6 linked regions of the Coturnix japonica genome follow. The protein of the gene in region 5 interacts with the protein of the main gene of each other region in a biochemical or structural test. Links are inferred from orthologs where the notes say so. Each region holds a gene or a part of one and is shown on either strand. Other genes may lie near its edges.

The links.
Region 1: the proteins of KLHL12 (region 5) and LNPK form a complex in vitro, tested with the Homo sapiens proteins (2 studies listed by BioGRID, with this or other methods). The link is inferred for Coturnix japonica from reciprocal best matches to the Homo sapiens genes KLHL12 and LNPK.
Region 2: of the proteins of KLHL12 (region 5) and DRD4, one has a biochemical effect on the other in vitro, tested with the Homo sapiens proteins (2 studies listed by BioGRID, with this or other methods). The link is inferred for Coturnix japonica from reciprocal best matches to the Homo sapiens genes KLHL12 and DRD4.
Region 3: the proteins of KLHL12 (region 5) and PDCD6 form a complex in vitro, tested with the Homo sapiens proteins (2 studies listed by BioGRID). The link is inferred for Coturnix japonica from reciprocal best matches to the Homo sapiens genes KLHL12 and PDCD6.
Region 4: of the proteins of KLHL12 (region 5) and SEC31A, one has a biochemical effect on the other in vitro, tested with the Homo sapiens proteins (3 studies listed by BioGRID, with this or other methods). The link is inferred for Coturnix japonica from reciprocal best matches to the Homo sapiens genes KLHL12 and SEC31A.
Region 6: the proteins of KLHL12 (region 5) and FBXL17 form a complex in vitro, tested with the Homo sapiens proteins (3 studies listed by BioGRID, with this or other methods). The link is inferred for Coturnix japonica from reciprocal best matches to the Homo sapiens genes KLHL12 and FBXL17.

Annotation. Positions count from the first base shown.
Region 1 is NC_029522.1:14,608,972-14,612,585, forward strand, and holds part of LNPK (endoplasmic reticulum junction formation protein lunapark), read left to right. Parts: coding exon 1-57; intron 58-1,320; coding exon 1,321-1,491; intron 1,492-3,614. UniProt on the Homo sapiens protein: Endoplasmic reticulum (ER)-shaping membrane protein that plays a role in determining ER morphology. Involved in the stabilization of nascent three-way ER tubular junctions within the ER network.
Region 2 is NC_029520.1:661,171-664,204, reverse strand, and holds the end of DRD4 (D(4) dopamine receptor), read left to right. Parts: intron 1-1,075; coding exon 1,076-1,188; intron 1,189-1,298; coding exon 1,299-1,852; intron 1,853-2,203; coding exon 2,204-2,406; 3' UTR 2,407-2,477; downstream 2,478-3,034. UniProt on the Homo sapiens protein: Dopamine receptor responsible for neuronal signaling in the mesolimbic system of the brain, an area of the brain that regulates emotion and complex behavior.
Region 3 is NC_029517.1:80,102,814-80,106,935, forward strand, and holds the start of PDCD6 (programmed cell death protein 6), read left to right. Parts: upstream 1-1,290; 5' UTR 1,291-1,359; coding exon 1,360-1,421; intron 1,422-2,657; coding exon 2,658-2,719; intron 2,720-4,122. Other genes in the region: EXOC3 (exocyst complex component 3), read left to right, coding at 1-149. UniProt on the Homo sapiens protein: Calcium sensor that plays a key role in processes such as endoplasmic reticulum (ER)-Golgi vesicular transport, endosomal biogenesis or membrane repair.
Region 4 is NC_029519.1:41,246,244-41,249,857, forward strand, and holds part of SEC31A (protein transport protein Sec31A), read left to right. Parts: intron 1-334; coding exon 335-434; intron 435-1,284; coding exon 1,285-1,446; intron 1,447-1,645; coding exon 1,646-1,798; intron 1,799-3,587; coding exon 3,588-3,614. UniProt on the Homo sapiens protein: Component of the coat protein complex II (COPII) which promotes the formation of transport vesicles from the endoplasmic reticulum (ER).
Region 5 is NC_029541.1:903,404-907,017, forward strand, and holds part of KLHL12 (kelch-like protein 12), read left to right. Parts: intron 1-735; coding exon 736-842; intron 843-1,730; coding exon 1,731-1,926; intron 1,927-2,307; coding exon 2,308-2,466; intron 2,467-2,570; coding exon 2,571-2,669; intron 2,670-3,202; coding exon 3,203-3,389; intron 3,390-3,585; coding exon 3,586-3,614. UniProt on the Homo sapiens protein: Substrate-specific adapter of a BCR (BTB-CUL3-RBX1) E3 ubiquitin ligase complex that acts as a negative regulator of Wnt signaling pathway and ER-Golgi transport.
Region 6 is NC_029547.1:42,394,044-42,398,324, forward strand, and holds the start of FBXL17 (F-box/LRR-repeat protein 17), read left to right. Parts: upstream 1-1,401; 5' UTR 1,402-1,503; coding exon 1,504-2,247; intron 2,248-4,281. UniProt on the Homo sapiens protein: Substrate-recognition component of the SCF(FBXL17) E3 ubiquitin ligase complex, a key component of a quality control pathway required to ensure functional dimerization of BTB domain-containing proteins (dimerization quality control, DQC).

The sequences.
Region 1 (3,614 bases), on a different chromosome or scaffold from region 5:
GTCAGCAGTGTTGTTCTCACAATGGTATGGCTCTGAAGGAGGAGTTTGAATATGTAGGTAAGGAAACACCTGTAGTAGACTGTAGTAGTTGGCTTGTGTTTCATAACAAATGCATGTGATGCTTCATTTTGACTGCTGTTAAATACTCAACTGACACTGTTAAATGCCACTGCGTATGGGAACAGTTTTATGGTAGCTTGCTACTCTGTGTCTAAAGATTCACTTTAAGATTTAAAGAAGTACTTCTCTGCAACCTCCAGGCCAGGGGTTGAGTGCAGAAAAGTATTCAGTAGAAATAAACCTCCTCCAATACATCCCTGAGAATTGGTACTGACTTGGAATGGTTCTCAGGTGGGTTTTGTGTTGAGAAACGATCTGACATTGAAGTATTCCTCTTTTACCAGAACTTAAAACTTTACTTTGGTAAGAAGATCTTGGGGAGACATCGAAAAAGGAGTGGGAACAAGCCCTGGGAGGCTATATGTGAATTTATAGCAGACAATAACTTAAGACAGACACAGCTCATTATTGAACACAGATGTTTTATTTTGCCTTCTTTCTACCACAAGTGTAAGCCTGATGTTTGAAAAATGGGAGAATGGTAGATAAGTCTATTTAATCTTGTTTCTCTTAATTTTGTGAGAAAATATACAGCACTGTAAAGGAATAAGATGGAAGTTTCCTTTGAGTCTGAATATATTTAGTCTGTATGTCATCCCAGCTCAAGTGTGTTTGCAGCTCTATTGTGCAAGAGATGACCATTTCCCTCCACTCATGTCTTGGTGAAAATATGTGTTTAGCTGTTATGTGGTATACAGAACTTCAGAAGAAAATTGCATTTTCTTAATTAAGCAACACTGGAACTGAATGCTCCTCTAAGAGCAGATAGTGAGGGAATGCGTTAGAGTCCACAGCATCCCTTTACTTGAAAGACGAGAACATTGGCATCTTAAGGAAAAAGTAATCTGCTGGTTTAGGTCTTTTGCAGGAAAGAATAGAACAGCATGTGACAACAACTCCTGGTACTGAATTTTCAGTACATATTTCACAATTATGGGCAAAAATATCCTTGCAGAAGCGCAGCAGAGCTGAAAGCAAACAGGTATTTAATAAGTAAATGTGTGCTGAAAGGGAAAAAAAAACCCAACAAAAACCAAAACTAAATAGAACACTTTGTATAAATTTGATGAGAATAAGCTTTGATGTTGATAGTCATTTAATTCTCTTTATAGTATTTTGGACAGTCAAGATATTGTGCAGGAGTAAGGTGAGATGTGAAATCAGTTAGTGGGGCTATTTACTGGATGTGCTTTTGTGCAGCATTTAGGTGTGCCTACTGCTTTTTCCTGAATCCTGCAAGAAAAACGAGGCCTCGGGCTCCTCGGCTTCCAGATTTCAAGTTTGAGAAAAAGCAACTTTCAGAATTGCAATCGGAAACAGAGCATCCAGAATCAAGAGAGAGCGAACCGCAGGGGAATCAGCAGGCAGAAGGTACGTGTTAATCTCAAGTCTGCTCCTATTTAGTGCCCAATGAAATGGCAATTTCCCCATGCATGCTGGTACTGAGTGTGCCATCTTTTACTGATGTGTAATGTCTATATGTTTCTCTTAACTGTGTGTTAGTATTTCTCTGCCTGGGTGATTTTGTTTTTCTATAGAAGTAGCTTTATAGTAGGTACCGTCTAATTTTTCCAATCTGTTTGTCCCTGCTTATAGCTTAACTTGATACTGTTGCTTTTGGTCTAAAACTCCAAGGTTTCTTGCAGTATGTCCATTGGAAATGATGTTACGGCAAAATTATTTATACCACTGTTACTGATAAACTCATGGAAAATAGCATTGTTAAGGAGCGAAGTGGTTAACTTCAACTGTGTTCAGCAGGTCATTTGATTAAGTTGTGTTGGAATTTCTGCCTTTGTTCCTTTTGCTGTTTTCCCCAGGGCAGGAAAATCTAGTAAAAACCACCTTGTTTAGAATTAGGGAGTTCAAAGACAAATTGTCAATTTTAATTTAACGTAGTTCCTTTTGAGACGTTTTATAGTCTGCAGATACAGTAGGCATCTGGTGTACAGCCAACAGGAAGATGCAGTGTTTTAAAAGACTTTGGGAATTATAGTTTTGAACCCAAGACTCTCCAGTTGGCTACATTCTTGTGTATTTACTGGCATTTTGCCTTAGTTCAAATAATAGTGGAGTATACTGGAAAAAGTTGTCTAAGATGTTCAGTCTGGAAGCTCATCATCTGTAGTAGACTGTCATATTGTGACACAATACTTGTTTACTCTTTAACACTGAGTACAAAATGGCATCAGCCTTTCCTTCTGGCATGGGAATGCTGATTAAGACTGGTAGGGAAGAATTATCTAGCTGTAGCCATCTCTGTGGGTGTGATCTGATGAAAGGTGCGCTGCAGGAAAACTTGCTTGGCTACTTTTCCTGTCAAAGCAGTGCTTGTAACTGGGCAGCTTGCCTCAGCTAGTTTCAGTGTAGTTCCCTAACCAGTTGTTGGCTCGCCTGAAAGGATAATGTCTGGTTTGTATGTATTGTGGAGCAATGTAAAGGAGGTAAGAAATTCCTTTTGACATAGACTGAAAAGTTCCACATACAAGTATTTAAGACGGCATATTTTATTTCTCTCCCCTTGTGTTTGCCAGTATGCCACAGGTTACAATCTGTCTTAAGTATGTAAATATAGCTGTTGCTAACAGTTTTATTCACATAACTAAGGAGATGGAGAACTACAGTAGAATGACAACAGAGATAGGTGTACTTAACTACTTAAGTGTACTTTTATGATATAAGTATCAAAACAAGAACTAAATCAGATGTGTGAAGCCAGACCATGCAAATTTCACCATTGACCTCTAATTGTCTGATCTATTCAGCTAATAGTGGATGGACTGATAAATTCATGACTACTTTTAAAAGCAGAAGATTGTTGTAGAAAAGACACAGTTAATGGGGTCTTCAGATCTCAGGGATTCTGTATGAATCAAACAGGGAAGCCCCTGCAGACTGATATTTAACTCTTGGAGATACGTGCCTTGAGGGCATCTGAGTAACGTTCAGCTGCAGCCTTTTAGAGGTTTTGAGAGAGGGTGTGCTAATTAAGCTAGTGTTATCTTTGAAGTAATGTTTATCAAACTATACTTTTAATGGGTCTGAGCTGCTGAGTCAGTTTATAGATGTTGTTAAAAAAAAGAAAGCTTTAAGAATTAGTGTTTCATTAGGCAGTTGAGATGTGGGAGTGAAAATTCTGTGAAATACTGCTTTTCTCAAAGTAGGTTTTTTTAGAAAAAAACATTTTTCTTTGATTTACCCTTAACACTGAAAATTACTTTTTTTCTGGTTGTGGTCTTTGTGTTTTGGTGTGTTTCTTTAACATAAAACAACAAAAACCAACAAATATTAAACCACTATGGGAGTCATTTCCTACTTATCTTTTCCTGGTTAAGAAGTACATGCTGAAAATTCTGGGGAGAGAAATTAGATATTACAACTTGGTCTGTTGACTTTTGTTTCTGTGTTGTTTAAATACCGTGTCTTTTCTGAATATTTCACCTACAAGGTATGAACTATTCTGTTTTGATAATTAGTAAGCAGCCAGGAATAGA
Region 2 (3,034 bases), on a different chromosome or scaffold from region 5:
GCTGAGCCAGGAAGCTGAGTGAGGTACAGTTATATAAACATCCTTGCCACTAAGATCCGTGTAAGAGATTATGGAAAAGAAGAAACTCTTTTAGCAGCTCTGCACTCTTAGGCTGAACCTCTGCAGGCTGGGGAAGGTGTTTCTCTCCAACAGAGCAGATGCAGAAGCAGTCGGCTTCTTGTTCAGGATACTTCAAGGTTGTTGCTGGTGCCACATCCAGCACTACTGGAAAAGAAAACAGTGGAGGGTCTTATGCTAAAAAAGCAAAGAATGTGGGGGAAAAACTAATTGGAGTTGTTCTGGAGCGCTTGTTAAAGGCGGCTTGAGCTGTTTGTGATCCCTAAAGCTTTACAGTGTGTACCTTGATGGGCTAATCTTCTGCAACCTGCTGGAATGAGGTACCGCTCAGCCACATGACCAAACAAAGCCAGCTCTGCCTCTAATCCAAAGTCACTCCTCCAAGCAGAGTGATTCTGGGCACCCAACGTGAGCCCATGGCGAAGGCTGTGTCCTTTGGGGGTGCTGCAGCTTGGCAGCTCAGGGCCTGCTCAGAACACATCCATTCCTTGAAGCCACAAATGGGTTTTGAACACCACAGCCGAGTCAGGTTTTGTCCAGCAAAGCTGGTCAGGTTCCTAATGAAGCTTGGGTAACAAAACGTGAGGGTTGTTTCAGGATTCAGCTCCCATGTTCTGCTTGGAGCAGCTGATTTACCCTAGAGAAAAGCCCGAATTAAACACCCAGGTCTGACTCCAGCGCTCTTCTGGAAGCTCATGGGGCCTCTCAAGGGGATGGGGATATAAAAATAACCCACCAGTTTCTCCAGAGTCTCCTTTGGCTTTGCAGCTCCACTAATCATAATCCTGTGTGTGACATCAGGACTGACCGATACTAATCCATGCAGAGCTGCCTGCTCCTGCAGATGTGAATGGGGAGGACCATGAATGTCAAAAACCTCAAGGTTTCCACACAGGTCACTGGACACCCAAGTGGAGGGGCATATTATACACATGTATACAGAGCTGTTTCCCTGCATGTCAAAGGCACCCACTGACCCAGGGATCTTGTCCTTCAGTTTCAGGGGGGTGTGTGGTCCCTCAGCACTGTGCTCTGCGATGCCCTGATGACGATGGATGTGATGCTGTGCACAGCTTCCATTTTCAACCTCTGTGCTATCAGCGTGGATCGGTAAGTGCCCTTCTTCCTCCTTATGCCGTAGGAGAGGGATCATGTCTCAGCATCAAGCTGCTTCCAGTTGTACTACCCCAACCTGAGCACTGACCCACTTGTGTTGGCAGGTTTATCGCTGTTTCAGTCCCGCTGAACTACAACCGGCGACAGATCGACCTGCGGCAGCTGATCCTCATCTCCACCACGTGGATATTTGCCTTTGCTGTGGCATCCCCAGTCATATTCGGCCTCAACAATGTCCCGAACCGAGACCCCAGCTTGTGCCAGCTGGAGGATGACAACTACATCGTGTACTCCTCCATCTGTTCCTTCTTCATCCCTTGCCCCGTCATGCTGGTGCTCTACTGCGCCATGTTCCAAGGACTCAAGCGCTGGGAAGAAGCCAGGAAGGCCAAGCTAAGGGGTGGCATCTACGGGGGCAACAGAATGCTCTATCCCCCTTCGCCCTTCATTGAGAGAGAGCGGGTTGGCTTGGGGCCGGAGGAGTACCACCATTACGGCCACCCTGAGCACCCCCTTCCTGGGGACTATGTGATGAGCAATGGGCTCCAGACTGTCTCCTACCCACACCTCAAGTACCCACACCCAGCGCTCAGTCAGAAGCGGGCCAAGATCAACGGCCGGGAACGAAAGGCCATGAGGGTACTGCCTGTGGTTGTTGGTGAGTGGCCGGTGGAAGAGGCTGGTCAAGGAGGGTGGGAAATGTGCTGTGTGTTCTTATAGGGTTCAGGATTCTGTTGAGCCCGGTCCATTGAGTGCCTCGGTTTCCCTTTGATCCAGAGTAGCATCACTCCTGGGTGTTTTTAATTCAACCTTCACTTCAGCTGTCAGCATTTGTGACTCCTGATGTTTTAAATGCTAATCCAAAAATGACACACAGCTCACATCTTTTCTTCACCAGCATTTAGGAAGTTGCCCAAAATCTTATGTCATGGAGGGATGGTAGCTCTGCACTTGTTAACCCCAACCCTTTTCAATACAATACCTTCTGTCTTTAATCTCCTCCTGCCAGGTGCTTTCCTCTTCTGCTGGACGCCTTTTTTTGTGGTCCACATTACGAGGGCTCTCTGCAAGTCCTGCACCATTCCCACTCAAGTCACCAGCACCGTCACCTGGCTGGGTTACGTCAACAGTGCCGTCAACCCCATCATTTACACTGTTTTCAACGCCGAGTTCAGGAACTTCTTCCGCAAAGTCTTGCACCTCTTCTGCTGAGCTCACTGGAACTGGAGGGAATGACCAGGATCACTTTTTGTATAGCTCATTAAAGATCTATTTCTGCCTAAGGTCTGCTGTCTTTGTTGGGGAGGAGGGAAACATGGTTTCAAAATGGCAGCTCCAAGACGGTGGTTCTCAGCCCTCTGTCTCCACTGTGAGGAGTTACAGGTGAGTGCAGTGGTTGCAGCTTGGATACTGCAGGTGTAACACTTGGTGCTTGACGCAGACATCAAGAAACCCCACAAGACGGCGGGATGTTGCACAGAATGGCAATCTTCTGTCTAATGATTTTCGTGCAGGGCTGTTGCTTTCCAAGGGGTAATTTGTTTGCTTAGAAATAAAGAAGACTTGCTGGGAGGTCTTGAGATTTTCTTCGACTGAGGGTAATGATTGCTTCATCAGTTTATCATCAACACATAAACACAGGATGTTGCCACGACAATTACACTGCAGTCTTCGCTGTGTTATAGGGGTTGGCTCCCCCAGATGCCAGGGCCCTGATGAGAAGCTTCTAGAGAACTTTAATCACACGTGAGTCATACCGACACATCTTCATTTAGGATTGCTGTCCCACTCATGCTCTTCAGAACCTCCTTAATCAGAAAATGCAATAAAAACAAAATTC
Region 3 (4,122 bases), on a different chromosome or scaffold from region 5:
TGACGGTGAGGGGAGATGCCAGCAGAGATATGAAGCAGACTATCATCGAGACTTTGGATCAAGGGCCAAGCCAACCCAACCCAAACTACGTGCCAATTTTTAAAGAAATTACAGTTCCTACTCTAACTGTGCCGAAACTACTTAAGTAATGGACAGCTCTGTTCATGTGTGGGATCCCACTGGTGTGGGATTGATGGGTGTGAAGTATTAGAGGGCAAGTTTGGCAGTGCTATTTCAAGTAACATTCGATGCACACTAGATCTGTTTCTTTCTGAAGATGTGGAATATAATGAGATTTCTACAGGTGCTGATGCTGCTGTCAGCAAATACATTTTGAGTCGTGAAATGTGGCATTGCAAATGTATAAAGATACTTACACTGAAAATAACACGGCTGTGGCAGTGCTGGGTGTATATTGCTGTCCTAGAGTCATCGTCCCATGGCACAGCATTGGGTGTACATTAATGTCCCCATTCCACTCCCACGTTAAACTTGGTGTATGTAATTACTTGGGTGTAAAATAGTTTATGGCAAAAACCTTAATTATGGAGCCAGCTTCCTGGCCACGGGACTGTAGAGGGAATAAATAAATAGCTAAAAACAGCATGAGGTACAATATGTCTTTGTGGATTCACTAAAAAGAGCACACGAATCATCACTTGTTCAATAAAATGCTGGACCATGGCCATGTTCTGCTGTGTGTGCTGTGTTTTGGCTGAGGGGGGGGATGAACTTTTACATAGTGAAAGGTCTGGAGCACAGGCCTTATGAGGGGCGGCTGAGGGAGCTGGGATTGTTCAGCCTGGAGAAGAGGAGGCTCAGGGGAGACATTATTGCTCTCTATAACTTCCTGAAGGGAGGTTGTGATGAGGAGGGGCTTGGCCTCTTCTGCCAGGCAACAAACAGGACCCGAGTAAATGGCCGCAAGTTGTACCAGATGAGGTTTAGATTGGATATAAGAAGGAGCTTTATCTCTCAGACAGTGGTCAGACACTGGAATGGCTGCATAGGGAGGTGGTGGAGTCACCATCCCTGTCAGTGTTCGAGAGGCATCTGGATGAGGAGCTACGAGATATGGTTTAGTGCTTTGCTGTAGGTATGGTAATGGGAGGGCGGCTGGACTAGGTGATCCTGTAGGTCCTTTCCAACCTTATGACTCTATGTAAAAGCTGATTTTACATAGACAGTCCAGGGAAGCCGCGGGTTCCAGGCCGGGCCCGCACGGCCTTAGGAAGCACCGGCTTCTTGTCGCCATGGTGCTTCCCCGCTTGGCGCTGCCTGCTGACATCACCCCCGCCCCGCTCGCCCCGCCCCAGGAAGCGGAAGGAGAGTCGCGCTGTCGGAGCTGGGGCGGCCGTGATGGCGGCGCCTCACGGGATGGGGCTGCCCGACCCCTCCTTCCTGTGGAACGTCTTCCAGAGGTGAGGCCGCGGGGGCTCGGGGCTGCCCGCACAGCTGGCACGGGGAGCGATCGGGCCTTGGGAGGAGGCTGGATGCCTCTAATGGGCCCCGGGCATCGGCCGAGCTCTGCGGCTGTGTCCCCGCAGCGGGAATCTAAGGGAGAGCTGCAAGGAGCGCTTGGGGAGGCGGGGTAGGGCAAGGAGGTGACCTGAAGGCGTCTGCCAAATGGGAATCGGGGAGGTGCCCCATCCCTGGAGGTGCTCAAGGCCAGGTTGGATGGGGCCCTGGGCAGCTGAGCTGCTGGGGACAGCCCTGCACATGGCACAGGGTGGGGATGGGTGGGCTCTGAGGGCCCTTCCAACACAAACCGTGCGAGGTTTGGATCAGCAATGAGTAACAGTAACTGCCTGGCAGAACACAGCAGTGACTCAGAGAGGTGACATTTGTCCACCACCCTTGTGTAAAAGCACTTTATCTGGGAACTTGACGGAAGTATGTGTGGGGATTGCTTATTGATATGGATAAGGCTGCTACAGTTGGTGTAGTTCAGATAGTTTCCAAAGAAGCTTTCAGCCATAAGCATCGAGGAGCTTTAGAGAAATCTGGCAGGCACAGAATGAAAGTCCTTCAGCGGGTAAATAACTGGCTGAAAGGGAAATTCTGTCACACTGATTGATGCAGCAGTTCTGGGATCTTCATTCAATATGTTCAAGAGCATCTGTGGGAACAGAGGGTGAATGATCAGCTGAAGCACGAGCTTCAGCTTCTGGTTACATGGACTTAATGTTTGGACTTTTATAAGGCATCTGTTCCTTTTTCTACTAACAAAGCACAAACGTGCACTCCAGGTGTCATGGCGGATTCCTGCAGTGTGAAGGCTTGGCAGGAGCACCTTGCTGTACTGAGTGACCGGGCTGTGTCACCTTCACGGTTGGATCCTGATTGCTGTATCACGGGTAGATGAATTCCAGAGTAGATACCCGATGGCTGTGAGGAGGATTCATGTCGTTTTGTATATCAAATGAATGTGCTCCGTGCTGACTGATGGTCAGGAGCAAGATAAGCAGGTTGTAATTCTGCTAGGATTACATGGCAGGGTTTGGTAGCGGGGCCTGGGGTGGCTCTGTGAGCAAAGCCCTGTGCTGCCCCACGCCCGTGACTGATTTATTTGGTAGGGACGGAAATGCTGAGGGTTGTAGCTAAATTCTGTTCACTTCAGCACCTCAAGGCACGCCACTTCTTCTCCCCTCCTCCAGGGTTGATAAAGACAGGAGTGGAGTGATCTCAGACACGGAGCTTCAGCAGGCACTGTCCAATGGTGAGTCTGTGAAGGGGGAAGGAGGCCCCTTGTGAACTTCGTGCTACATTCCATGCCAGTCTGGCTACTCGACTCTTCTGGTCTTGACGTTTTACTCCTTGCCCACCTCTGCTGCACCTTCCCTTTTGAACCAGAGCAAAGGTCAGATGTTTACAGCCAGCCTTTTTCCTGCATGTAAGAGCCCTTCATTCAGTACAGTGCAGGAAGTGAAGGTGCTAATTTCTTATTTGTAAATGAGGCAATTTGTTCTCCACTTTCTTTTCCTAACCAAGTAGAAAGCTGTACTTCAGACCTCGCTTGACTCGTAACTGGGGCGTGGTCAAATAGCTCTGGGTAGCCAAATGAAAACTGAACGCTTCTTTCCAGTCGTCACATTTTCCTTCCTGCTGGTCATTCGGGATGGTGGAGTTGTTTTTTTTTTCTAGAATACATCCTCTGTGGGTGGTTGTGTGTCACAGTCCAATGTGGGCCAAAAGAACGTAACGTGTTTCTTTCGAGAACACTAAGCAAGTATTCACTGCTCTCACTGTATATTGAAGCTCAATGCGTTCTTGAAGATCAGCTTTTCAACGTGCCAAATTTATGGCTGTAGTAGTACATGTATCTGGGAAGGATGGGAGACCACACAACAGAGTTGTTTGCACAGTAAAATACTGTGCTGCCTTCTTGCCTTTTGTTTCTTTTTTCTCTCCTGTGCTGACATGCTGAGGTATTTGTTGTGTCAGGGGAGGAGGAGGTAGGCTGCTGCTGGCTACCTGCAAGCTGAAATCAGTACAGTTCTTCAGCACCAGAGTTGCTGTGGTTTCTCTGTATGGAATCTGTATTAGTCTGTTGTCATGTCTTTCTTTGACATGAAATAATATAACTCTGCTCTTTAGAACTCTGGAGTGATTCCAACCCAGTAAAAACTGGCCCAAAGTGAGGAGCCTTTCCACATTCAGTAGCAGCTGCTGACAGAAGCCCAAAGCTCCTCTACACACGGCTGTGCTCAGGCCTGCCCAAGCACTAACATTTCTTGGCCTGAAAACACACTCATTTAAACAATGCTTTCAATTCAGCATGGGGAGGGGATTTATACAAAACTCAGCTTGAAATCGCATTGTGTGCCTCTTGTGATGTTAAGAACCTGTTCTTTTCAGTGTCCTGGAGTAACCCATCTGTAGAATAGGGAGCAGTCAGATTTTTAGTTTTATTAATGAGAAATGGGCAAAAGACTCCTGACAACCATTCTTGGTTCTTCTAAGGCTTTGGTTCTCGGCTGGATTTTAGTTTATGTTTTGGGGTGTTTTTTTATGCAGACTGAAAAATGTTGGGTTTCTGTGCAACATTATTAGAGCATTGGTCAGAAGTCATCAAGACCACAGTTACTTCAAAGCAGCTTTGTTAAATGAGGAGTAGCTTGC
Region 4 (3,614 bases), on a different chromosome or scaffold from region 5:
TTTCTGCTAATAAAAAGCTGTCAGAATGTTGATAATCACTGTTTCAACCTATTAGTTTGCATAAAATGTGTTAATGATGGTGCAATCAGTCGAACCATTTGAGTGGATTGGTAACCATATCTGCATACAGAAGTGTTGAATTTAATTTTATTTAATTGAATTTTATTTATGGTGACTGTACCTTTACAGCTACTCATGCAAAAAACAGAAGAAGGAGTGGGGAGGACATTTTGACGTAGACTGCTCAGCTACTGTAGCAACTTGCTGACAAACATGCTGTATCACCATTTTGCATTCGTATTAATATGTTACTTGGTTGTGACTTCTCACACAGGGGTATATTGGCTATTGCTTGGAGTATGGCAGATTCAGAGCTGCTACTAAGCTGTGGGAAGGATGCCAAAATACTGTGTTCAAACCCTAACACGGGCGAGGTACTGTATGCACATCACTTACTAAAAACTGTTTGGAGGTGTCATGGTGTTATGTAAAGCAGCAATTTAAGAGCAGTTGATCTGTTTTCAAGCACTTTCACTAATTTTTGCAATATGGACTTCTTGCTTGTTGTGTGGGCAAGATCATTCTGCAGACAGGGAGAGATGTGCTGTCAGAATCCAGACTTGGCTGCAGAAGTGTAAGGCAAAAGGTGGGATAGCAGGTGTGTGATCCAAGCTGGATTCTGAGCTGGGGAGCTCTACGTTTGGGTGACTCATACTGCATAGTTTGATGTAAAATAAAAACCTTTTCCTGGGAGACAGTGATGCAGTTACTGCTTGGCCCCCTCAGCAAAACTTTAGTAGACAAGCAAAGAACAAATCCTTTCTTTGAGATTAAATGTCTCTTGTAGTGGTAAACTTGTCTGTTCTGGGCCAGGAGAAACTCCTGGGAGCAGCATAGGTTTTAACTCTCCCAGTTGTCCCCCAGAACATACTGCCTTTGGAGCCTGGGTGTGTTCCCATGTTTTGTGGATGAGTTACCACGAGTTCCAGCAGCTCGTCACAATGCACAGAGCCAAGTCAGTAGCTGCACGTGCAGCACAGAAATACACTGCCTGCTTAGCTGACCATATGTGGAATAAACAGAAAAGTCAATGGGAATAGGAGATAAAGCAGTGGTGTGTGGTGCTGGATTGTCACGTCCTCATTGTTAGTGTGTATGGGTGATGTGGGGGCTGCTGGGGAGCAAGAAGAGCAGCTTCGTCTCTGGGCACACAGGAAAGTTGCTGTTGCTGCTCATGGTATTTCATATTCACTCTGATGTACCGGACTTGTTTCTGCTGCCCAGGTTCTCTATGAGTTGCCCACAAACATGCAGTGGTGCTTTGACATCCAATGGTGTCCCAGAAATCCTGCCATCCTCTCTGCAGCTGCATTCGATGGACGGATCAGCATTTACTCTATCATGGGAGGCAGCACGGACGGGTTGAGGCAGAAGCACGTTGACCAGGTACTGAGAAGCATGAAGCTAAGAAAATGGTTAGAAAGGGGATAAAGCATGGGTTTGTGGGTAGCCTTTGGAGGGTGTCCCAACTGTGTGCTTGCAGGAGTACTAATCTGCTGTAGAAAAAAGAAACAGTTCAGTTTATTGGAGATGATGTCTCACTCTAGGTTTTGTGGGTTTTTTCCACACCTTTTTATTTTCAAAGCTTTCATCCTCATTTGGGAACCTTGACCCATTTGGGACAGGACAGCCTCTCCCACCCCTGCAGCTTCCCCAGCAGACTGCACCACAGAGCGTCGTTCTGCCCCTAAAGAAACCCCCCAAATGGATCCGGCGACCTGTGGGAGCATCGTTCTCTGTGAGTAGGGACCGTGTCTGGGCACAGCTGGCCAGGCAGGAGGGAGATACAGGTAGTGGTGGCACCTGCAAAGCACATCTGAAACAGGGGAATTTGTCATTGTGTTCCACATCATGAGAGTGTGCCCTGTTTGCTGGGGTGACAGGAGATGCTCAAAACAGCATCTGGACTGGGCATTTGGGACAGCATGCCAGCAAAAGCATGACAAAAATGCTTGGAGAAAGAAATGGGGAGGCATTGTGTTGCCCAGAGGCACTTCTTTCTGTTTTGGAATTGAGGGCTTTGCTTTTACTTGTGTAGTGTTTGCTTTGAATAAACAAATGTATTATTGGAAGGGACAAGTTGGGCAACTAGCTGAGATTTCAGTCCAGTTTGTAGGCATTATATGGCTCAGCGTGGAGAAAGATAACTAGGTATGCTCTGATGGAAGGTAGCAGGAGCCCCTGAAACAGCACACAGGCCTGGGCTCCTCTCTCATTGTAGGAGTTGCAGAGAAGCTGTATGACAGGCAGGCAAGGCCCTGCTTTTCATGAGAGCAGGGTCATTTGCTCTTCAGCTACCACCAGTGCCTTGCTTTCTGGACTCTGAGGCTGTTTCCCAAGAGAATTAATGAAGATTTTTAGGCAGACAGTCTACTTGAAATGGATTGCTGTGCCAAAGTACTGCCTTTGTTTTTATCAGTGTGTCTGCTTATTCGTCATCTCATCCACAAATTAAATGCAGCTTTTCTCCTCTCAAGTAGAAGCAATATTGCCTAGCCACTGATTGATGTGTCATTTTATAACAGTTTATTTCCTTGTCCTGGTTTTCCAATTTGTCAGCCTCTTTCTTGGCCATAGTTTTTGTAATGCTCACTTTGGTCTGGCCTGTGTCAGTTGACTTTAAGCTATAAAATGAAATCGTATTCTAGGCACCATTTAATGTTGTTTTTTTTTTTCCTTTCCTTTCTGTTGGTTTTATTTCTTTCTAAATTTCAATTCAATTCACTGCCGAAATTGTTTGAATTTGTAAACAGGCTGCTGTAAGTAGGGTACACATGATACTTGAGCATCTATTTAATGATGCATAGGGTTTTTTAGTGTGTTGTGGGCTAACCCTAGTAAGCCCCTGAACCTCGTTTACCTGCCCACTGGCTCTCTTACAGTTGGATTAGGTACAGAATCAGAAGGATAAAAGTGAGAAAACTCATTAATTGAGATAAAGCCGGTTTAAATAGATAAAGCAAAAGCTGCATGTGGAAGCAAAGGAGGAAGGAATACGTTCACCCCTTCCTACTGGCATGCAGATGTTTAAGCATTGAAGAAGCAGGGCTTCATCATGCATAGTGGGTATTTGGTAAGAGAAATGCCATAACTCAAGATGTCCCCCCATTTCCTCCACTCCTTGCTGGAGGGGGAGCTTGAGACACAGAATACTCTGATGTGGTGTAACTGTCATGTAGCAACAGTTAAAACAGGGGTGTGGTGTCAACGCTATTTCAATCACCAGTCCAAAACATAGCACTGCATGGGCTGCAGTGAACAAAATTAACTGCTGCCACACCTTGTACAGCACTGTCATAGCACCAGATACTCACAGACCCATTTCTCAGGTCTCACACACACTTATCCAGCGAGCTGCTTTATTGCATGGGAATGTGGGGTGGTGATACAAGCTGATATTTGTTTGCTGAATGATCATTTATGTATCAAATGAAAACATGTGCGTGTGTTATGTATGCATAGTTTTTTCACACATATCCAAGTGCGTACTTGCATTTTTACATGCTCTGCTTGTGTCTTTATTCCAGTTTGGAGGCAAGCTGGTTACATTTGAG
Region 5 (3,614 bases):
CAGTGGCATAGAAGGGGGACAGCAGTGCAGGACAGGGTGGCTTGTTAACGAGTGGCAGCACAGGGAGTAGCTGGTTGCCCTGCTCCTGTGTTGGTGCTCCCAGATGGGTTTGTCTGAGCATGCAGCCGTCCCAGGAGTGTGGGCAGAGTTTCTAAAAGGTGGTTATCAGTGTCAGAAATTCACAGGGTGAGGTGAGAGATGGCAGCACTGGAGGGAAGATGGAATGGGGAACGTGGGAGGGTGAAGGGCAGCTGGGAGGTGGGCAGGTTGGTTTGTTGAGAGGCATGGTGAGTAATTTCTGTCCTGAAGGCAGTGCGGTGTGCTTCGACCTCCAACATAGTCCACCCACAGCACAGCTCCTGTTTTTCCAGGAACACCCCACATCAGTGCTCAGGGACATCCACTTCAGCTCAAGCCACCATTTACAGAGAGGCATTGTGCTCTGTTCTGGGTCGAAATGCCTCAGCTGATAAAGGGAATGTCACAAATTCACATCATTATCCAGGTGAAAATTGTGCGCTTTGCTTCTAAGGTCCACCTTCTGCATTCTGCCTTCTTTTGTATAACAATTTGATAGCACTGCTGTCAGGAGCACTCTCAGCACACGCCCTCGTGTTGCCTGTTCACTTCCTGGATGGACTGCAGTGGCTGTGCTGCATGATGCCCACAGGGCTCAGCTCTGCGCCCATGGTTGCACACCAGCTGATGTGGCTTTGCTCTCCCTCTTTGCTGCAGGAGCAAATGAAGTCTTGCTTGTGATCGGCGGCTTTGGCAGCCAGCAGTCACCCATAGATGTTGTGGAGAAGTACGACCCGAAGACCCACGAGTGGAGTTTCTTGCCTGTAAGGGACCTTTTCTGACCATCATTGAGCAGAACAGGCACGCTGACATCAAACATCGATCGTGTGCTACTGGCCACATAACCTTCCCTGGGCTGTCCTCAGTTCATTTGGGTTGTGGAGGTGTATGCAGTAAACGCTGGAATCACTTTGCTTGTAAAGCTTTGTGGGAGAGGTTGCTGCCTTATTTGCTGGGCTGAACCTGCAGAGGCTGCATCTGTGCTGTGGGAGTGAGAGCTGAAGGGCAGCATGTTTTGTCTTCAAGGGGCGTTGAGCTGTGAAGTTTGGAGGTGGCATCTGGGGTGTCAGTGGGAGCACTGGGGTCAGTGCTGCTGTGAGCACAGCAGGCTGCGTGATCCCTGCTCACGTTGGGTCTGAGTGGGAAGGGATTTATTTAGAGATAACTTCTGCAGTGCGATCTTAGAAGCAGCTGTACCAGTAGGAAGCAGCGCAGGCCTTTGTTACTGCTAATCACAGGGAACTTACATTGCTTTCTCTCCCAAAATTCAGTTCTTTTTTTGGGAGGCCAAAAGCTTCAGCTGCATCCAGCAGATCTCTGTAGCCTCCACGTTTCCCTATTGACAGGGAGCGGTGGGAGGCATGCACACCTCCAGGATGTGCCAGGGATTCAGCAGTGACAGGAGATAAGCTGACATTGTACAAAAGTATTGTGCATTCAAAGAGACCCGGGCAGCAGAAGCTGCAGAAAGCAGATGCAGTCCTGGTGCATTTCAGCCAGAGATGGATTGCTGAAATCCACACTGTCATCTGCCTCTGCCTTGAGGTGCCTCTTCCAACAAAGCAGCAAAAATGGGATAGAACAGCAGTTGTTCTGCACACACGGGGGGTTGTTTCTTCTCCTTGACCCTTTGTTTTCCTTCCTCATTTCAGAGCATCACCCGTAAGAGGCGTTACGTCGCGACTGTGTCCCTGCATGACCGGATCTATGTCATCGGGGGCTACGACGGCCGCTCCCGCCTCAGCTCCGTGGAGTGCTTGGATTACACATCAGATGAGGATGGGATCTGGTACTCCGTAGCACCCATGAACGTGCGGCGCGGGCTGGCAGGAGCCACAACCCTGGGAGGTGCATCCTGGGGCAGATCGTTGGAGCTCTTTGCTTGGCTACAACAATGGAAACCACCTCTGCTGTGTCTCCATTCTTTGTGCCACTGTGCTCTGAGCAATGGGAGCTCAAGGAGGGGCTGTGGAGGAGGAGCTCTCATGGTGGATAAGCAGCTGGAAGGGCTGGCTGGGTTCTGGGCTTGGTTGGTTGATCTGCAGGCAGGCTGATACCGTGAGGGTGAGCAGTCTGCATTTCTCTCAGGTTCAAACATGCCAAGTTCTGCTGTGGTTGCTGTATTTTGCAGTCCACATTGTAGGTTTGCTGTGTCTATGAAGGCCTTTGTGCTCCACGTGCACATTCGGTGCTCGTTGTGCTCAGCCCACCCCTGCTCTGTCGTTGCAGATATGATTTATGTTTCTGGTGGGTTTGATGGGAGCCGACGCCACACCAGCATGGAACGCTACGACCCAAACATTGACCAGTGGAGTATGCTGGGAGACATGCAGACAGCACGGGAAGGAGCGGGGCTCGTTGTAGCCAACGGAGTTATCTACTGCCTCGGTAGGTGCCCGCAGGCAGCAACATGCAGATCCTGAAGCAGACCCTGGAAGCTGTGCCATGCTTCGCTGGGATGGCGCACAGTTTGCTCCTCTCTTGTGTTTCAGGCGGCTATGATGGGCTGAACATACTGAATTCTGTGGAGAGGTACGATCCCCACACGGGACACTGGACGAACGTCACACCGATGGCCACTAAGCGCTCAGGTAGGAGCTTGTGTGCTGGTTTAGCTCCCCAGGAGGAGGATCCATAAAGGAGTGTGAGTGTGACTTTATGGGCTGTGGGGAGAGGAAGTCTGTGACTGCCCTAATTAGGAACTGGTGAGGAGCAGGCAACACAGTTAACGTATGTAATGTGATGGGACAGCGTGTGAAGGCAGCACTTGTTAGCTGCAGGGCCCAGTCAGTGAGGGGTGTTCAGGCAAGCACTGGGGCTCAGCTCCTGGGCATCCAGGACAGCAGAGAGCAGCACTGTTAGGACAGCATTACGCTGACAACTTGAGCCACTGTGTAGCCAGTTTCGGCCAACAGCATTACTGCTCTTACTGGGGCAGCTGAGCACAGCAGCTCTTACAGGCACAGCTGTCAGGCTGGCTGCAGGCTGAGTACCTCATGCTGCTCCTGCTGCCCTGGCTGCAGCTGCTCGCTCCCCCTCACTGGAAATTGAGCAGAAGTTGGCAGGGTTAGAGTTACAGCACTAGGCACAGCACTGTCAGCACTCCTGTGTCCTCTCCCTGCAGGTGCCGGAGTTGCTCTGCTGAACGACCACATTTATGTTGTTGGTGGGTTCGATGGGACGGCGCATCTCTCCTCTGTGGAAGCCTACAACATCCGCACTGATTCCTGGACCACTGTAACCAGCATGACCACCCCCCGCTGCTACGTGGGGGCCACCGTGCTGCGGGGAAGGCTGTATGCAATCGCTGGGTAAGAGATGGCCATGGGCTGGAGGGGAAGGTGCTCTGTGTGTCAGCAAGAGGGGCGAGTGACTCCAAGTGACACAACCCATGGCTGCGTTGCATTCAGCCTCTTGAATGCACATCAAGACTACTTGGGAGGACTCTGAGCATCTCAACCCCTCTCTGTGGCAGCACCCCTCAGCTGTGACTTTCTGTCCCTTCAGGTACGATGGCAACTCACTGCTGAGCAGCA
Region 6 (4,281 bases), on a different chromosome or scaffold from region 5:
TCATGGGACAATATCGGACTGTAAGATGTAAAAGCAACATAGAGAAGTCAGTCACCTTTGCCAAAAGTACTGCAGTTATGTGATCATGTGAGTAAGGACAAGGCCACGGTGACTCTTTAGAAGTTGCACAGACATAGCTGATTAGTTTGGAATATTTGATACTGTAAGCATTTCTCCTGAATGTTGTTCAGTTTGAGTGCTTGGCTTTAACTGCCTTTACAAGCTGAATTTGTTCTTATAAAAATAAAGAATGTAAATCTGAGAGATGAATAGACCTGCCAATTTTTTTGCCAGAACCTGCTGCAGTTTATATTGATGGGTGTCAGTGAGTTAAAAACTCAGATAAAATATTACATTATGCTACTTTTATCACATAATGTATTAGTATTCTTCTCAGCAAACCTATTTTTACTGAATGGTTGATAAAGAGGAATCAAAGGAAAATAGTGTCACAGGTATTTTAACCCTCACACAACATTTTCCTGGGCAACAGGCCCAAAGATTTTGTCCACAGTACCTGGCACTGTGCACTTCTGCTCTGGCCCTTCATTTTTAAGTAGCAATACTGTACCTTATATATCCTAGTTACAGCTGGTCTCCTCCCTCCCCAAACACCTTCTACTAAAGGCAGTGTCCCTCATATATTTAAACCTATACATGCGAGTCATTTTACGTCAATAATTTAGAACCGAATCCTGAAACACGCAAAATAAGTTTGCTGTGGACAGTACTAATTACGGCACTGCGGTTTATATTTGCAAAGATGTACACACTCTGAGCAACTGTAACACAGGGGCAAAGGTGCTGGTCAGCAGCGATTCAAGACAGCAGGAAACGGGATTCGCCGGAGCGTGTAGCTGTGAAGAAGGCATTGCTAGAGAAGACGTGGCTTCGGAAGCAGAACGCTTCCATCAGTCCCTCAGCTTGCGTTACTCGGCCATCGCAAACGCCTCGCCTTCACTCCTGTCCGCTTCCCCACCGGCTCTGACCAATCGATTTATTTCTGCCTCGCTCCGCACACCGCAGCCGCACGCCCCCGGGAGCAGAGCGGGGCCCGGAGCATCCTCAGCGCGGCCGCCGCGCTCCTGTACCGCGGCTCCCCGTCCGCACGCTCGTACCTACAGACGCCGCGCTCGCAAGCCCCGCACCCTCGCTCTACCTGAGCGCACCCGCACCGCGCGTGATGGGGCGGCCCCGTCTCCACCCGAGTGAGGCCGCCGGGCCTCCAGGCCCTTCCCGGCCGTCTCTCCGGCGGCGGCTCCCGGCCCGGCCGCTGGCGGCAGCACCACCGGGCGGCGGCGGCGGCCCCTCCGCAGCGCCGCCTCCTCGCGTCCCGCGGGGAAGGTCAGGGCGGCGGTAGCGGAAGCGTCTCCCTCCCGGCTCCGCGTCCCGGAACCAGCCCCGCCGCCCCCGGCGCCGCCACCTGCCGCCCCCGCCGGCAGCATGACAGCGGCCGCCGCCCGCAGGTGACGCCCCGCGGGCCCTTTCGCCGCCGCCTCCTATATGGGCCACCTGCTCTCCAAGGAGGCCAGCAGCCTGAGCCGGGACAGCGGCGGCCGCCGTCGCCGCCGCGGGAGGAAGGTGCCGCCGCGCAGCCGGAGCTGCTTCCTGCGCGGGCCCTGCATGCTCTGCTTCATCGTGCACGGCGCCAGCTCGTCCGCCCCGGAACCGCCCCTGCCCGCCGGGGACCCGCTGCTGCCGCCGCCCTACGCGTCCCACGCCGCCGCCGAGCAGCGCGCCGCGCGCCGCCTCCTCCGCCTGCCGCCCGCCGCCTGGGAGCCGCGCGGCCGCTGCCGGCGCCTCCTCCTCTCGGGCCTGCTGCCCTCGCCGGTGCGAGGCCTCCTGGGGCCGGCCGGGCCGCCTGGCGAGGCCGTCTCCGAGATGGTGTGCAAGCGCAAGGGGGCCGGCCTGCCCGCCTGCACCCCCTGCAAGCAGCCGCGCTGCGCCGCCGGCGCGGCGGACCCCGAAGCTGCTGCCTGCCAGTGCCCCGCGGAGCCGCAGCCCTGCGCCTTGCCCTCGGCCGCCGACGGGGCGGGGAGCGGCGGGACCGCGCCGCCGAGGTGCCCCGCCGGGAGCGGAGACGGAGGGGACCGGTCGGTATCGCCGCCGCCCCCTCCCTCCGGAGACGAGAAGGAGGGAGTGAAGGAGCGGAGCGGCGAGGAGCCTTTGGAGCACCCCGGGGACGGCTGCCGGGAACCGTCGTCGCCGCCCGACATCAACCAGCTGCCGCCCTCCATCCTGCTCAAGGTGGGTCGCCGGGCCGGGGCTGCCTTCAGGGCCGCGGGGCCGGTAGGCCCGGGTGGGGCTGCAGCCGCCCGCCTTGCCCCGGGGGTCGCGGCTCAGCCCCCTCACCTGCGGCCGCTCCTCGGACACGCGCGGTCGTGCTCCTGCCCGAACTGCTGGCCCGGCCCGGCTGAGGTACGGGAGGAGCGGCCTTGGTCCCTTACCCTGTGCGGCGTGAGCTCTGAAGTTGAAGCGGAGGCAGTCGCGGTGCGCTGCCTCGGAAGCACTTCGACTTCAGCCTGTTGCATGACTTTGTAGCGCACCTCGCACGCGTGGTGCTCTCCGGGTCGGCTGTTCGGGAGCAGGCGGGCAGCCGGTGAGCTCCGCTCGTTCTGTGCGAGTCAGAGCGGTACGAGCAGGCTGTGCTGAGGGGCATACAGCTTCTTCCAGGCTGTGTTCTGAGTTCGTCTTGGTTTTACTGTGCTTCCAGTCATAATGAATTCTTGTAGCACTTCTGAGCTCTGTTCTTTAACAGCCCATTGCTTTGTATATGCCGGGTCTTGCTTTGCTTCCTCTCCCTTCTGCTGTGCTTTGGTTCCTTGATTACTGTTTGCTTTCTAGAGTAACTTATAGTTCAGGCTGCTCGGTCTATCATTCTACACACTGTTCTTCAGCTGAGCCTTAGACCAGGTGAGAACCATTGCTGGAGCTGGAGTCTGCAGTGTTTTCCAAAGTTTGTTGTCAGGGTTCCTTCAGACTGGAACCAGTTGGACTTGGAGTACTACAGAAGTTTTCTTTGGGGTTAGATGGCTGAACTTGAAGCAGTGTGTTAACAGAGCAGTGTGACAGATGGCTCTTCCTGTCTGTGACCAGATCCGTTCTCTCTGTAAACTCTGGTTGTGCAACCCCAGCACTGAAAGTGATTTCTGATCTCTTGTCCACAAACACTGACATTCTGCTATTGGTCTTCCACATAAAATTAAGTCTGTGCTTGTTTTTTGTTGTTGGCAGTGGTTTGTTTTGTTTTGGAAATATGCATTCCTGTCTTAGTTATGTTGTAATGGCATGCAACATTTTTTTTTATTTTTTCAGTAGATTCACTGCCCAAATTCCCCCGTGGCAGATATTTAAGAAATCACAAACTGCCATATCTGTCTTAATCTCTTCTGTGATCAAAACTCTGCCTCACAGTTTTACTAAAATAAAGGATCCATTTCTTTGTCACTGTTAATTTAAGATCATAGAATCATTAGGGTTGGAAGGGACCTTTAAGATCATCTAGTCTAACCACAAACCCATCACCACCATGCCTGCTAAACCACGTCTCTCAGTGCCGCAGGTGACTCCTCGTGTTATCCTTGGTATTGGGCTGTTACAACTTGAGATCAGACTGGCATAAGTACACCTTAATGACTTCTTCTCATCAGTTGTATGGCTTCTGTAGTCTCTTCAGCACGTGTCCAGTTTCACATTATCAAAAATGGCAGTCTAGCATGATCATAAACTTGTTCTTTTAATAGTGTGACTTTGTCATGCCGCTCTCATGCCTCTCTGGAAGCAGCCCCCCATTACAGCTTGCAGTGGTTTACATATACTTTGCAGGCAAGTACTGTGCAAGCACATCTGGTTGTGCTGTTTCACTACTCCTGACTGTGCAGATCATTTCCCCTCATTCCCATGCAAAGCCAAGCTCCTGGGGCAGGACAGATGGAGCCTTAGGCTCAGGGTTAGATCTCCCTGAATCCTTGTTCTGCTCTAGGACTGAAGTTTTCTCAAAGCAGTGCTGCTGGTGTTTTTGTCACATGCTTGTTTGTTGCTCCTGGTGCTGGGATGTTTGCAGCTCTGGACAGAGACCAGTGCCTGGCTTCTAGCAGAGCTGTTGAGCTCCTTCCTGCTGGCTGGTAAGGCAGAGCAGCCAGCCCTTCCTTCCCAGTGTTTGTAAGCATGAAATGGAGATGCTTGGAAAACTTTGTGCTACGTTCCACTCAGTATTGAAATCTTTGGGCCATACAACAAATGCTTTGCCTGTTCCCATGTCGCTGCAATATTTTTGTGAAA